2 linked regions of the Lepisosteus oculatus genome follow. Each later gene encodes a partner of the first gene's protein in a complex. Links are inferred from orthologs where the notes say so. Each region holds a gene or a part of one and is shown in the gene's direction. Other genes may lie near its edges.

Region 1 (7,832 bases):
AGGTGCCCGCGGCGCAGGGCTGGCCGGGGGCGGCGCGCGGAGGCCTGTGCGTCCAGGACTGGCTGGGCAAGAAGGCACGGCGCCACTTCATCAGCCAGGCCTTGTACTTCGTGCCCAAGCAGCCGCCAGGCCGCCAGCGGGGCGAGGAGGCCAAGGGTGAGTGTGGACACCCCTGTACCCCCTGCGCCCCAGCTCTCTCAGTGTGGACACCCCTGTACCCCCTGCGCCCCAAGTCTCTCAGTGTGGACACCCCTGTACCCCCTGCGCCCCAAGTCTCTCAGTGTGGACACCCCTGTACCTCCCTGGGCCCCAGCTCTCTCAGTGTGGACACCCCTGTTTCCCCTGCGCCCCAGCTCTCTCAGTGTGGACACCCCTGTATCTCCCTGCACCCCAGCTCTCTCAGTGTGGACACCCCTGTACCCCCCTGCGCCCCAGCTCTCTCAGTGTGGACACCCCTGTACCCCCTGCGCCCCAGCTCTCTCAGTGTGGACACCCCTGTACCCCCTGCGCCCCAAGTCTCTCAGTGTGGACACCCCTGTACCCCCTGTGCCCCAAGTCTCTCAGTGTGGACACCCCTGTACCCCCTGCGCCCCAAGTCTCTCAGTGTGGACACCCCTGTACCTCCCTGGGCCCCAGCTCTCTCAGTGTGGACACCCCTGCACCCCCCTGTGCTCCAGCTCTCTCAGTGTGTACACCCCTGTATCTCCCTGCACCCCAGCTCTCTCAGTGTGGACACCCCTGTACGCCCTACGCCCCAGCTCTCTCAGTGTGGACACCCCTGTACCCCCTGCGCCCCAAGTCTCTCAGTGTGGACACCCCTGCACCCCCCTGCACCCCAGCTCTCTCAGTGTGGACACCCCTGTACCCCCTGCGCCCCAGCTCTCTCAGTGTGGACACCCCTGTACCTCCCTGGGCCCCAGCTCTCTCAGTGTGGACACCCCTGTATCTCCCTGCGCCCCAGCTCTCTCAGTGTGGACACCCCTGTACCCCCTGCGCCCCAGCTCTCTCAGTGTGGACACCCCTGTACCCCCTGCGCCCCAGCTCTCTCAGTGTGGACACCCCTGTACCTCCCTGGGCCCCAGCTCTCTCAGTGTGGACACCCCTGTATCTCCCTGCGCCCCAGCTCTCTCAGTGTGGACACCCCTGTACCCCCTGCGCCCCAGCTCTCTCAGTGTGGACACCCCTGTACCCCCTGCGCCCCAGCTCTCTCAGTGTGGACACCCCTGTACCCCCTGCGCCCCAGCTCTCTCAGTGTGGACACCCCTGTACCCCCCTGCGCCCCAGCTCTCTCAGTGTGGACACCCCTCTACCCCCTGTGCCCCAAGTCACTCAGTGTGGACACCCCTGTATCTCCCTGCACCCCAGCTCTCTCAGTTTGGACACCCCTGTACCCCCCTGCACCCCAGCTCTGTCAGTGTGGACACCCCTGTCTCTTGGTGAATCTGAGTGGAGCCCTTTGTTTTCCAGAGTGCTGGAGAATCTCGTTCTCTCACGTCGAGAAGGAAATTTTCAAGAATCACGGCAGCAGCAAGACCTGCTGTGAGAGCTACGCCAAGAACTGCTGCCGGTGAGACCAGCACTGCACCGTACTGCACCCCCAAACCACACTCACACCCCCAAACCACACATGCACCCCAAACCCCACTCGCACCCCCAAACCCCACATGCACCCCCAAACCCACTCACACCCCCAAACCCCACATGCACCCCAAACCCCACACACACCTCTCAAACTCCACATGCACCCCCAAACCCCACTCGCACCCCCAATCCCCACTCACACTTCTCAGACTCCACTTACACCCCCAAACCCCACTCTAACCTCTCAGACCCCACTCAACCCTCTATCAGTCCAGAGGTCACAGTGTCTCTGCGTGTCTGTAGGGGTCAGTCCACAGGTCACGGTGTCTCTCTGTGTGTCTGTAGGGGTCACTCTGGAGGTCTCGGTCTCTCTGTGCGTCTGTAGGGGTCAGTCCAGAGGTCACGGTTTCTCTTTGTGTCTGTAGGGGTCAGTCCAGAGGTCACGGTGTCTCTCTGTGTGTCTGTAGGGGTCAGTCCAGAGGTCACGGTGTCTCTCTGTGTGTCTGTAGGGGTCAGTCCGGAGGTCACGGTGTCTCTCTGTGTCTGTAGGGGTCAGTCCAGAGGTCACGGTGTCACTCTGTGTGTCTGTAGGGGTCAGTCCGGAGGTCACGGTGTCTCTCTGTGTGTCTGTAGGGGTCAGTCCAGAGGTCACGGTGTCTCTCTCTGTGTCTCTCAGTAAGAAGGCTCTGCGCCTGTTGAAGTGTCTCATCGAGGGTCTGAAGCAGCGCCACCCTCGGGAGCTCGCTCAGCTCTGCTCCTACCACGGGAAGACAGTCTTCCTGCACACGCTGAGTCGCCATGGTGATGACGCCATCTGGGCACCGCGGCGGCTCCCCTCCTGCTTCCTGCTGCTGCTGGACAGCTTCATCGCCCACGTCCAGTGCGCCGAACTGCCCCACTTCTTCATCAGCGCCAGCAACATGTTCGCCCCGGCCGCCTTCCCCCGCCGCTCCCTGCTCTTCCTGCAGGGGGCGCTGGAGGAGCAGAGGCAGAGCGGGGTGCCACTGTTCCAGGTGTCCAGCCCGTCACGGCTCCTGCCCGCGGACCCCCCCGGGCCCAGCTCTGCTCCATCGTGCCCCCCGGTGTGCAGCTCCGGCCTGCACTTCCCCTCCCTCCCCTGGGGCTTGGGGGCCCTGGCTCTCCTGACCACCCTGCTGGTTGCAGCAGCTCTAGTGCTTCACTAGGGGGCAGTAGAGAGGGACTTGGTGTCGACTGTGCAGGGCAGGGACCACAACTTTCAGCTGGGGCCTGTGGGTTTCCTTTTGTGTAGTGAATACAGCCGTTAAGCCAACTAAGCACTGAAGTATTAAAAATTCTCAAACACACCAACGAACTCAAAACAGTGAACATTTTCAGCGGCAACAATGAAACACACCAGAGGACACGAGTGGAAACTTCAGGGAATTACATTTTAAACTGAGAGCTGGAGGGACCTCCTTACACAAGGAATTGTAGGAGTGTTGGGCAAGCTGTACAGTCATATTTCTGAAGCTGGTGTCCTTGCCTCTGTGAAGATGAGATTCTCAGTGCAATTAGCCAATCACTGCCACACAGGCCAGATGGGACAAAAGTCTTCCATTCGTCATCTTTCTTGTGTTCTTATGAGAGGTCAGGGTGAACAAGACACCAGAAGACACGGACGACCTGCAGGGACTGCAGAGCAGCAGGATCCACATCTGTGTGTCCTTCCTTCAGGTCAATTCCATTCAAGGTGCTTTATTGGCATGACCAATGAGTAAAATCAGTGTTGCCAAAGCAACACAGATACAATTAACATAAAAAATGACAGACATTTACAATATAGACACATCATAGGATATTTATATTTATATGAAGCATTACTGGGAGGCAGGCTGACTGTTCCTCAGGCTGTGACAGGAGGTCACATACTGGGCTGCCAGTTCAACTGAGGTTCCTCCTCCCTCTCCCAGTAGGATTGGGAGCTGTTGTGATCAACAAGGAATATTTCTTCTCTGTCCTCCTGTGTCTCAGTGCTTCTGTCCCTCTGTCTCTCTGCACCTTCTGCAGGACACTGAGAGAGAAGAACTGACCTGCCTGCTGATTGGACATAATGGGAAAATCAGACTGTGAACTGCTAACAAACACATTCATTAACACAATGTAGCAAAATTATGTATCTGATGTACTCAATTAACTGCATATGTATATTATATTTTTAGACAGTGATTTTAAAAATAGGAAAAAATAATTGAAATGTTTGAATAAAGAAAATCTTTGTTCCTGGGAACCAATGTGCATATTTGAATCTATCAATTAAAATGAATTTAAATTGATCAGCCAGCAGCTGACAGCTGGAACCCCACTGGAGCTCAGCGGGTGTGAGCCTGGTCAGTCTGGAGCCTGGATGGGAGACCTCCTGGGAAAAACTAAGACTGCTGCTGGAAGAGGTGTTAGTAGGACCAGCAGGGGGCACTCACCCTGCGGTCTGTGTAGGTCCTAATGCCCCAGTATTGTGATGGGGACACTAGACTGTAAAAATAGGCACCGTCCTTCGGATGAGAAGTAAAACTGAGTTTGTGACTTTCTGTGGTCATTAATAACCCCAGGGTGTTTCTCGATAAGTGCAGGGGTGTTACCCCAGTGTCCTGGCCATTTTTCCCATGAAGGCTCCACAGCCGAAACATTTCTTTTCTTCCCTTTTCAGCAGGAATAAACCTTCACTTCCTTTAAAGCCCACAGGTGCTGACACAGCTCCCCACCTGAACTATCATAAGTCAATGTAAGGGAACAAGTAAAGGTTTATTTCCTGCTGAAAAGAGAAGAAAGAAAACACAACGTTTCTGCCGTGGAGCCTTCTTCAGGTCTCAGGTCACACAGCTCACACCTGAACTATATACAGTCAATGTATGTATCTGTTTAATTTCACACAAGGGTGAACATTTATATGTTTTTACCTTTTCAGGAAATTATAAATGTCTTACAAATCACCACGACCCCATGTTAGATATCAGTCTTCTTCATGTATCCACAGTGTAAATTAGGAAAATTATTTATTCAACAAAACACACAGAAGTCTGCTATTACAGAAATTTTCAGAAAACAGCCTCATTATTCCATTATACGTTCTACAAAAGAAGACATCGTAAATACTGAGACACGAGTTTAGAAATAACGCCACTGCTATATAACTTTTCTTGCGCCAATTTGATATGAGCATTAGTCTCTAGTCTCTATTAAGACCGGAACCTGGGTTACATCACCAACACATTCCACGGAGCCAATCCAGCCGGGCACTCGATTATAAAAGGCAGCGCCGGAAGTCTGTCGCTCTCTTCTAGTGCTCCAACATGGCGGTGAGTAGTGTTTGTCAGCTGAAGATGGCGGTGTCTCTACTTTTGTCAAAATGTCAATCCGTTTCCATCGGTCGTTAAATTAAGCGTCAGCAGGCTGGTAGAGCCCGGGGCTTTCTTGCAGGCGACTGAACTGCGGGGGCCACTATGTTTGGTTTTTGTAGCTTGAAGCGAAACACATATAAACACACCTGGAGTGGCACAGACCCCTGTCCCCGTCTCCGGCCTGGGTCTCCCGCACCGCCGGCCAGTGCTTGTGGTTTCGACCGGCCCGGCTGAGGTCCTGGTGCCGGGAGAGCCGGAGGATTCCGGCTTCACCGGTGTTCTAATGAGACGGCTGTGCCTTTCCAGCCGGGCTCCGGGCGGCGGTCTGTGGGGCACGTCCCGGCGGAGTCCGGGTCCGGTGTGGAGCGGGCCGGGCCCGAGCTCTGGGTGTGGGTCGGTTCTGAGAAGAGCTGCTCGGAGAAGCCGGACTGCATCCCGGGGCCCGTGGGCTCACGGGCTCGGTCCGGCGGAGTGCCTGTATTGGCGCTCCCCCGAGAACACGGGTCATCCCGGTGTCAGGCTGCCCCACGCGTTGCGTGTTTCGAGTGGGTTCTGCTCCCCGAGGTGGTGGTGTCTGCGGCTCGGGGGGGTCGGCTCCTCTGTGTGGAAGTGACCCGTGGCCCGCTGTCCCCGCAGGACCAGGCTGAGAAGAAGGAGAACCCCATGAGGGAGCTGCGCATCCGCAAGCTGTGCCTCAACATCTGCGTGGGCGAGAGCGGCGATCGGCTGACCCGCGCGGCCAAGGTGCTGGAGCAGCTGACCGGACAGACGCCCGTCTTCTCCAAGGGTGAGTCAGTCGGCCGGCCCGGGGGGCGGCGGTGCGGGGGCCGCCCGGACGCGCTCTGACCCCCTCTCTCTCTCGCCCGTCCAGCCCGCTACACCGTGCGGTCCTTCGGCATCCGCAGGAACGAGAAGATCGCCGTCCACTGCACCGTGCGCGGCGCCAAGGCCGAGGAGATCCTGGAGAAGGGGCTCAAGGTGAGGAGTCCCGTTCGGCCTGCCGGCTGCAGGGCGGGGGGGTGAGGGTGTGACTCGTGTGCTCTCGAACCCGGGCCCGCGGAGGCTCACTGCCTGTCTGCCCGTCTCTTCCAGGTGCGGGAGTACGAGCTGCGGAAGAACAACTTCTCCGACACGGGGAACTTCGGCTTCGGGATCCAGGAGCACATCGACCTCGGGATCAAGTACGACCCCAGCATCGGCATCTACGGGCTGGACTTCTACGTGGTGAGGATCCACTGTCCGCCTGTCCGCACTGCAGCGCGGGCCTCGCCTCGCCGTGGGCCTCCCCCCAGTCACGCTCTCCCTCTGTCGCGCAGGTCCTGGGCCGGCCCGGCTTCAGCATCGCAGACAAGAAGCAGAAGAGGGGCCGGATCGGCGCCAAGCACCGGATCAGCAAGGAGGAGGCCATGCGTTGGTTCCAGCAGAAGGTAGGAGCCGGCGACCCGCTGGGCTCGGTCCTGCTGGGGACGGTGTGTGGGTCCGGTACAGCTCATGGAGGTTCTGGGAGGTGGGGAAGGTTTTCCGGCCCCGGAAGGCTGGGGAGATGAGAGTTGTCACTGTGGGACCTCCAGCACGACTCCGCTGGTACATCCTGCTCAGGCACAGGCTGAGCTCCGGGATCTCGGGTTCGAGTCTGGAGTCATGTGACCGGGAGTCCGGCTGTGAGGGTAGGGCCGGATTCGTGGGTCAGTGGCTGACCGCTGCCCTGTCCACAAGCAGCTGTGGGTCTGCCAGGCTTGGCCTGGGCGTCAGTGTAGCGAGTCTGAGGCCTGGGAGCGGCTTGGCGCTGTGGGTCCCAGTAAGCAGGGAGGTGGTCCTGGCCTAGTGGAGAGCTCCTGCCTCTCGGCTCGAGGGTCGGTGACGAGCCCAGCGTGTGGATCCAGGGCTCGGGGCCGGGGAGACTCAGCCACTGAGCTGGTTTAGAGAATACACCCAGGTTATCGACTGGCAGTACTGGATTTTAAGAGTTTAGATTTTGTAGTGAAATGTACAAAGGTGATTTAAAATGACTACTTGTACATTAATGCAGCCAAGACAAAAGACCTGGCACGAAATGGAGGAGACGCTAACAGTTGTGTGACTGTGCTGATTCAGACATGCCTGAGTAAGAGGATTCCTGAGGTTTTGGCGCTGGGGTTCACAGGTCTGACTCTAGTGGCTGAGCTCTCGCAAAGGAGTCTGATCTGCTTCAGGTGCGCCAGGCCTCCTGTTGTCTGCTACTGCCACTCTTGATGCACAATCCTCTAACTGCTGCTCCCTTTGTGTTTTTGTTTTGCAGTACGATGGCATCATCCTCCCTGGCAAATAAAGGACTGCTTTCTTGATTTCATTTGTAAAGATTTGCAAAATAAAGTTGTAAAAAGCTGAAGTTTGACTGTCTTGCCTGCAACCATGAGTGTTGAATTGAAATGGTGCTGTGGGCCAGGCTAGGTGTTGGGGAGGGGGTAGGGTAGAGTTTGTTCCAGCCAAACGCAGTGGTGCTTAATTAGTCAGGTTGTGAGGATTGAGCAGAAATGGATCCCCTGTGTCTCGTCTTGCAGTGTTGTTGCACAGGGCTGTCCATCCCAGCTGGACACAACAGTACTGCTCGGCCCCCGAGTCCTGCTGCAGCAGGAGACCCGCCGCTGCAGTTCCAGGACCCAGAGCTCGGGCCAGCTTCCTCGCGCCTGCGCTGGGTACCAACCTGCAGCAGGTTGTCCAGGCTCGGTGTGAGGGACCCTTGAACCCAAGAGAGCCCCCCCACATTATGAAATCGCCTGCTGGAGTTCACCCCAGGCCATGAGGGGTATTCCTGCCCTCAACCAGCAAGGGGCACTGTTGGGCAGGAAGTGTGCCTGTGTGGCAGGGGTGTGCACTGCGGTTCTCGCTGCCTGACCAGGCTGCAGCATCTTGCAA
Region 2 (7,029 bases), on another chromosome or scaffold:
TGGAACACTTTCTTTCTAAAAAACAATTGTTTTTTGGGTGTTGCTTTTACATTTAGCAACTCAAAGGAAAAAGATGATTTCTGTATAATACATTTGTAGGTAGTGCGCTCACTGACCATAGCATGACGCCTTTATATACACATGCTCAAATGTCTTAAAGAACACTAGTGAGCTTTGCTGGTACTGGTGGCATCGTCTCAGTCTGATTTGTTCTTGTGTTTTCATGCTGTTATGTTTTTTGTAACGCCATGATCCTAACCAGGACTGAAAGTGGATTGATGAATGTTTTCTGTAAACTAAAGAGCTTCTTTTCAATGCTAAAACTGATGGAGGGCAATCTTTGCAGACAATAGTACTCAATGGTCAGCCTGTAGAGGTTGTGGGGAGTCTATGGGAATGCATATTGATCAGAGGCATAGTTACACCGAGAATACAGACAACATTTTTTAAAAAGCAAATCAGAGATGTTTTTAATTCAAAGACTCAAGAACTTTAATGTTCTAATTTCATAATATCCTAGAGATGGCATATAAAAGCCTTGTTGAGAGCATCCTGGGATTTAACATGACAGTGTGGTATGGAAACCTAAACTGTCCCGGATTGTGAAAATGGCAGGAAAAATAACTGGGAAACAGCAGCCCCAGCTCTGCAACTCATATCATAGTACAGTTCTCAGAATGCCCAGGAACATCACAGCTGACTCCACACATCCACTCCATTCCCAATTCCTAATCTTCCCATCAGGAAGACGGTATAGGGTACCAAATTGAAATAAAAACATTTATAAGAAGTCCTTTGTCCCCTCTGCAATAAAACTACTTAAGGAAGGTATGTAAATGTAGTCTCCCCTCTAAATATTTATTTATCCATCTATTTATGTATCACATACTGTTGTTGTGATTTTATGTGACTCTTGTGTTTTGCTTGTGTGTTTTGTACTTCTGTGAAAGAAGCCAAAGACAAACTTCCACAGCAGTGGACAATAAAGTATCTATTTTTGTAATATATGACTGCCTGCTGGTCTGGCTTGTAGTTTATATGTTCACCTATGCATAACAATTTTTATCTAGCATATACTGTAAATTATGAAGAAAGAAAATACTTGGAAACCTGAATGATTTGGGAATGAAAGGCTAAAAGCGCACTCTCAGTAGAATTGCTGTCTATATAGATCGATGTTAGAATTATAGTTATTGGAGCCTGACTCCAATTTAGCCAAGGAAACCTATCATAGTATTTTCACCCCATAGTGATTTTGTCTGCTGCTTACCAAGACATCTCCACTGTCAGTGAAGGGGCTATACTTCAAAGCCTGTGTACTCATTCCCAAATGGAAATAATTACCCCTGCTGTAATTTTGGACTCATTGAGAAGTGTGGCTCAGCTAGAGCACACAATAAGAAGCTTTCTGAATCACTACTACTGATGCTATGATGGTGAGCCACATGAGACAAGTGGTTTATGATGACAGGACCAGTGCCACATGGAACAAAAAATCCTTGTTTCTTGGCACTCTTTGAAGAAAGAGATGGGCTCCAGCAGTAGAACATCACCCTTGAGTCTTTTGCTGGTAGCATCTTTCTCAATCTTGTTTTTTTTTTCTTCTAACAAATTGTAGAATTGAGAGTTGAAAATGTTTGACTCAGTTTAAAGCTTTCTGCATGTTGAGGAAACTCATACAGCAAAAGATATGGAGGAAAGTAAGTGGATCAGAGCATCCAATATAAAGGTATGACTGCACAAAGGAAAAGTCCCAAATAAAAGTATTACTTTTAAAGCAAGCTGGTTTGTTCCACTTTCCCCTGTGGTTTATGACCTCTTTATTCAGGATGCAGTACACAACATTGTTTGCTTTTTTCAAGTAGGGTTGTTTTGTTTCACAGTTTTTACAGCACTGCCAGTCTTTAGGTTATCAGTTTGTAACACAAAATAATCTCTAAAAGCTTCCCAAACAAATTGTTGTTAGAATTTAATAGCAATAATATTATTTATGCCTTTGTCTAACTTCTTTATTGCAATATTTCTTTTGTAGAACAAGTGTTTGCTTTCTTACACAGTAAAAAGAGAAATCCTGCACAAAAGTAAAAAAACCGTTCAAAACTGCAGTTTCGAATTTATCAGCTGAATGGAAAACGGTTGCATAGCTTGGGATGTGAAATGTCAAAAACAATATTAACTAAATATGTTGAAACTAAAATAATAAGATCACTTTATCTTTCACTCACCAAGTAATTGCAAAAATGCACACTTCATACACACTTACAGTACAGTATGTAAGTACAGTTTGTTGAATAAGGTAAATAATATATAGGACTGGATTAGAAATATGAGCAAGACATTACTGTCTCAGTATTATATTACAGTATGTTTCCTTTCCAAGTAAGTGGAACCACACCAGAGTTCCTCTACAACGATTTCCAGATCAGGATGTTTGTGCTCCTCTTAAGGACCTTAAAACAAAGGCACAGTGTGCTCTTTCCACAAAATGAATAAAAGCCAATTTAAAAAAAAAATGTTCAATACTGACTTTATACATTAGGCCCAGTTGGACAGTGTTTGAAAGAACTAGGATGAACGTTTTGGTTTTCATCGACCGCAAGATCTGTAATCACTTTGATGTGTGCCTATGAAACCTGCTGATTTTATAGTGGTTTGGTTTAAAAACCTGCCATATGAACGATGTAGCCTTGGGACAAATGTACAAAGGCTTTATGCAGAGTGCCCAGGGAGGCAGTGTTCTAAGAGAGTAATGTGCAATGTGGTGTGCAGACTTTCAGTTCATGTATGCCAACACTGTAAAGTGACCCCTCTTTTTGACACTGACATTACATTTAATCTCTGCATCCCCAAGTTAGGTTTACTCTAGTGGCAGGCCTGGAGAGAGAGACTGCAGCAGATACAGGGACTGGCAAGTATTTGGAGCTTACAAACTGTAAATGTTGTGTTTCAACTTGTTTTATCTGTGGCACACTGACAGGTTCCAGCTCCATTCACCAGGAGCGAGTCAATATGTGTTTCATTCATGACTCTTCAGTGTGAAATGCAGGAAGACTGGGATTAGCACTGTTTAAATCAGACAAACTAAACGATTTTTTTCCCTTGAAGAAAAACACATTTGTCTTGTTACTGACCGCCACTTTTCTTTCAGAAATTAGTTGCTTGAAACTATGAAGAGTTATTTACTCTAATTTCGTATTTACGATTTTGTTTATTCATTTTGAGTGAACTAGGCTGTTAAAAGATCATTCATAGGATATACTATATACTATATATCGTATAGTTTTGACTAACATTTATTTCTTGGAAAAAGATAAACCTAAGTATGTCTTAAAATAATATATATGTATGTATGGTTCGAAAATAAAGATTTTGAAGACGTTAATTAGAATTTTTAAAGGAAGCCATACTCCGTTAGAAAAGTTGTTTCTCTGTGTTTGTCAGTAGAACTTAAAAAAAAAACTCCGCGTTTAAAAAATGAATTTAAAGAGCCCGGGGTCAGGTGAGAAAATTATATTACGTAACTCCAGTATCAAAACATTACCTCGTGTGTGGCGTAGTCTATATAATACTCGACATAGTCAGCTCGGTCTAAAATTATATTGGTTTATTTAGCCAGGCTAAAGAATTATGTATCGGGTTATGCCCTAGCTACGGTATAGTTACAGGGGGTGGAAGGTAAATATTTATGAAGTCATGGACAATTTGACTAAGGGTGAGATACTATGAGAATATGAAGGCTCAGTCCTTTAATGATTATTAATGTATTACTGAGTATTATTAAAGAAATTCATTTTCACAACTGGTTTGCATAGAAGGATGAGAGGTATGTAAAATTAGTTTAACAACAACTATAATTTATTTTGGTTATACTTTTTCTTGTGAAATTTCGATATACAGTTCTACGCCTGAAATGCGCATTTCTCCACCACGGCTGAATATATATTGTTTTAATTTCGTATTTACGGTTAAATACCGCCACATAGCGGAACCTGCACGTAAAACCACATCCATGGAGACCCGGAAACAGTCGCTTGACCTTTCCCACGGGCTCCAGCGTGCTTCCTTTGAGAGCGAGACCGTCATGGCGTCCTGCAGTGTGGAAGACGTGCTCGCCAGAGCCGAGAAAGAAGAAGCCGAAAAACTCAAAAGCATCTCGGTCCACAAAGAACTCGAACTCGAGTTCGACCTGGGGAACTTGCTTGCATCTGATAAAAATCCTCCCCACGTCCGAGAGTTCAAGCAGCAGAAAAAAGAGGAGTTCCTGCGCTCTCTCGCCCGGGGCAACACGCAGCTGCTCATCAATGAGCTCTGGAAGTTGCCCACAGAGAGGGTCGAGGAGGTGATAGTGGCCAAGCTACCCGACCCTTCCACTCGGCTGCCGAGAGAGAAACCGGTGCCTAAACCCAGGGCGCCGACCAAATGGGAGGAATTCGCCAAGCTGAAGGGGATCCAGAAGAAGAAGAAAACCAACCTGGTGTGGGACGACGTACACAAGGAGTGGAAAAGGCGGTGGGGCTACAAGAGAGCTAATGACGACACCAAAGAGTGGCTGATCGAGGTTCCCGCGACCGCCGACCCCAACGAGGACCAGTTCGCCAAGCGCGTAAAGGCCAAGAAGGAGAGGGTGGCCAAAAACGAGCTGAACCGGCTGAAGAACATCGCCCGGGCGCAGAAGATCAAAGTGCCCGGCGCTGGGCTGACGCCCGCCAGCCAGCAGTCGAAAGCGGAGCTGCAGATGGCCATGCAGGTGGCCAAGACATCCACGGCCTCCGTGGGTAAGTTTCAAGACCGTCTACCCAAGGAGAAGCCGGCTAGAAACACGGGGAAGAAAAGGAAGTTTCAGCCCCTCATCGGCGACTTCTCCAGCGAGAAGCAGAAACAGCTGGACATGCTCAAGATCATGGACGGCAAGAAACCCAGGCTGGACATCACCAAAGCCGTCAACAAGCAGATGAGGGAAGAGGATGTGGAGTCGGGGTCCAAGAGGAGGAAAACGCCAGGGAAAAAGGGCCGCAAGGGTAACTTTTCTGGGAAAGGAAAGGGGAAAAAGGGACGCGCTGGAGGCGGAGGCAAGAACAGAAAGCCACGCATGAAGCAAGGGAAGCGATAGAGGCGCCACGGGCTTCTCGCGTTTTGCCTGGCGTGGAAGAGGAGCGTGTCTAGATGCAGTCGTCATTCGGTGTTCTGTACAGAACGAACTTTTTCTGCAAACCTTGGTGCCTTGTTCCCCCCCAAAGAAATAACCGTGAGGCCCCGTGGAACTGGTTTCACGTTTAATGGGACGCACATCAATGAACTGTGCACTGGGTTAAATATTTTTGTATCCGATGGTTAATAGGACACATGATATGGTAGTTCAGGTGCGTAGCTGCGTCAGCTGCAAAGGAACAAGTAATAGGTTTATTCCCTGCTGAGAAGTGACGAAAGGAAACAACGTTTCGGCTGGAAGACTCTTTAACTCTTACACCCGAAGAATGCTCCGCCCCGCCGAAACGTTGTTTCCTTTCTTCTCTTTTCAGCATGGAGTAACCCTATTGTTCCTCCACATGATACGATGCCTTGCTTTGCTTCTTTTGCAGTGTACGGTACTGTGCGTGACAATTCGCTGGATGAGTGAAATTTCTCTCGACTGAATATTAAGTCTCTCCGTAGAATCGTGTGTTGTTTTCGCTTTGAGCTCTGAAAGCCCTTCGTCCAAATTGTTTTTTGTTCATTTGCCTCATGTAGAATGCCCATCTGTTAACAAATGATAAATGGGTGTAAATGTAGAAGACCTTATCATGAGCCTAAATGTAGTTCAGATTCTATTGTACAGCAGCATGTTTTAATTGATATTCGAGTTGCATTCTCTTTTACATCAGGTATTTATGAAACAGAAGAGTTGATATAATTGCAGCCTTAGTCTTGACCTAGATTCAGTCAAAATAAGCTAGTGATATCTGGTACCTGATACAGCTGTAACTGCTGTGCAGTGGAAATCTGTCTTGCCTGTCATTTTGTCGGTTTTATGATTGGCCTTGGTCTAACTTTAGGTTAGGTTAACTTTAGATCTAACTTGCTGACCTGACTGGGTGAAATTCACTTGATTACAGGCCCTAGATGGGCTCTATACTATCATGACACATACAATGGGGGACTGTTTTTTCAGCTTCTGACAGGGAATAACAAATATTCAAAGTTCTGTACTACTTGTATTCTGAATACATTCTGCGTGTGATAGTATTTTTACAGTTAATGGACTCTTTTATGTCTTCAAAGATGGTTTTTGTAATGTCTTTCTAGTTTGTTTGAAGGGCTTAAAGGGTGGTAATATGAAGGCCCAGCATTCGTATATGTGCCTAAAGTTAAGAAAATTAAGTGTCGGACTTGGGAATCTGAATATTTAAGGTGTGCATAAGCCTAATTTTGCTGCTGTCTGAAGAGTAAATATTACAGAATGTATTTGAAGTTGGTGGCTTATGAATAAACGTTCACCAAACAGTTGCTGTGGAAATGTTCATTTTCTTTGTATAATCTTAATTACTTACTACTGTATGTTTGAGTGGTGCTGTTTTAATAATCACTAGTGTTCATTGTTACAGTGGTAACCTTATGTCATTTAAGATCTGAAATCTATGCAAATTGTATGAGAGAATCGGATTCCCCTCTTGAAAACAAACATTTAAGCTAAAGTGAAGTTTGAAGATAAGAGATTAAAACTCTGTTAATATACATTTTAATGCTGTTTTGGTGTACTTCTAGAACTTGGCCTTGTAATCTTATCAACATGTTATTAATCTTATTAGCCCTAACCTTGTGGTGGAGACTAAAATTGGTCTACAGATAAGTAAATGTGTAAGAGGAATGCCACAGTTACTATGACAACGGCTAAGTTTGGGTTTCCCTAGGTTAAGGGTTCCTAATGCTGGTTCTGGGGAGTTCAAAACCAGCAGCTTTTATAAGTAATCATTAAACCATCACTTTCTACACGACCTGGCTTGACAAGTGATCAATTAAAAACGATGTGTTGATTAATTTAGAAAGAACTTG

The links. Proteins that work in one complex are often made in the same cells at the same time.
Region 2: rpl11 (region 1) and rrs1 share a complex: the UniProt entries of both Homo sapiens proteins name them as parts of the hexameric 5S RNP precursor complex. The link is inferred for Lepisosteus oculatus from reciprocal best matches to the Homo sapiens genes RPL11 and RRS1.

The regions. Positions count from the first base shown.
Region 1 is NC_090706.1:290,055-297,886, forward strand, and holds rpl11 (large ribosomal subunit protein uL5), read left to right. Parts: upstream 1-4,823; 5' UTR 4,824-4,889; coding exon 4,890-4,895; intron 4,896-5,573; coding exon 5,574-5,724; intron 5,725-5,808; coding exon 5,809-5,915; intron 5,916-6,029; coding exon 6,030-6,161; intron 6,162-6,253; coding exon 6,254-6,364; intron 6,365-7,215; coding exon 7,216-7,245; 3' UTR 7,246-7,305; downstream 7,306-7,832. Other genes in the region: cyclic GMP-AMP synthase, read left to right, coding at 1-156, 1,468-1,567, 2,258-2,765.
Region 2 is NC_090701.1:51,349,759-51,356,787, forward strand, and holds rrs1 (ribosome biogenesis regulatory protein homolog), read left to right. Parts: upstream 1-3,988; 5' UTR 3,989-4,009; coding exon 4,010-5,110; 3' UTR 5,111-6,483; downstream 6,484-7,029. UniProt on the Homo sapiens protein: Involved in ribosomal large subunit assembly. May regulate the localization of the 5S RNP/5S ribonucleoprotein particle to the nucleolus.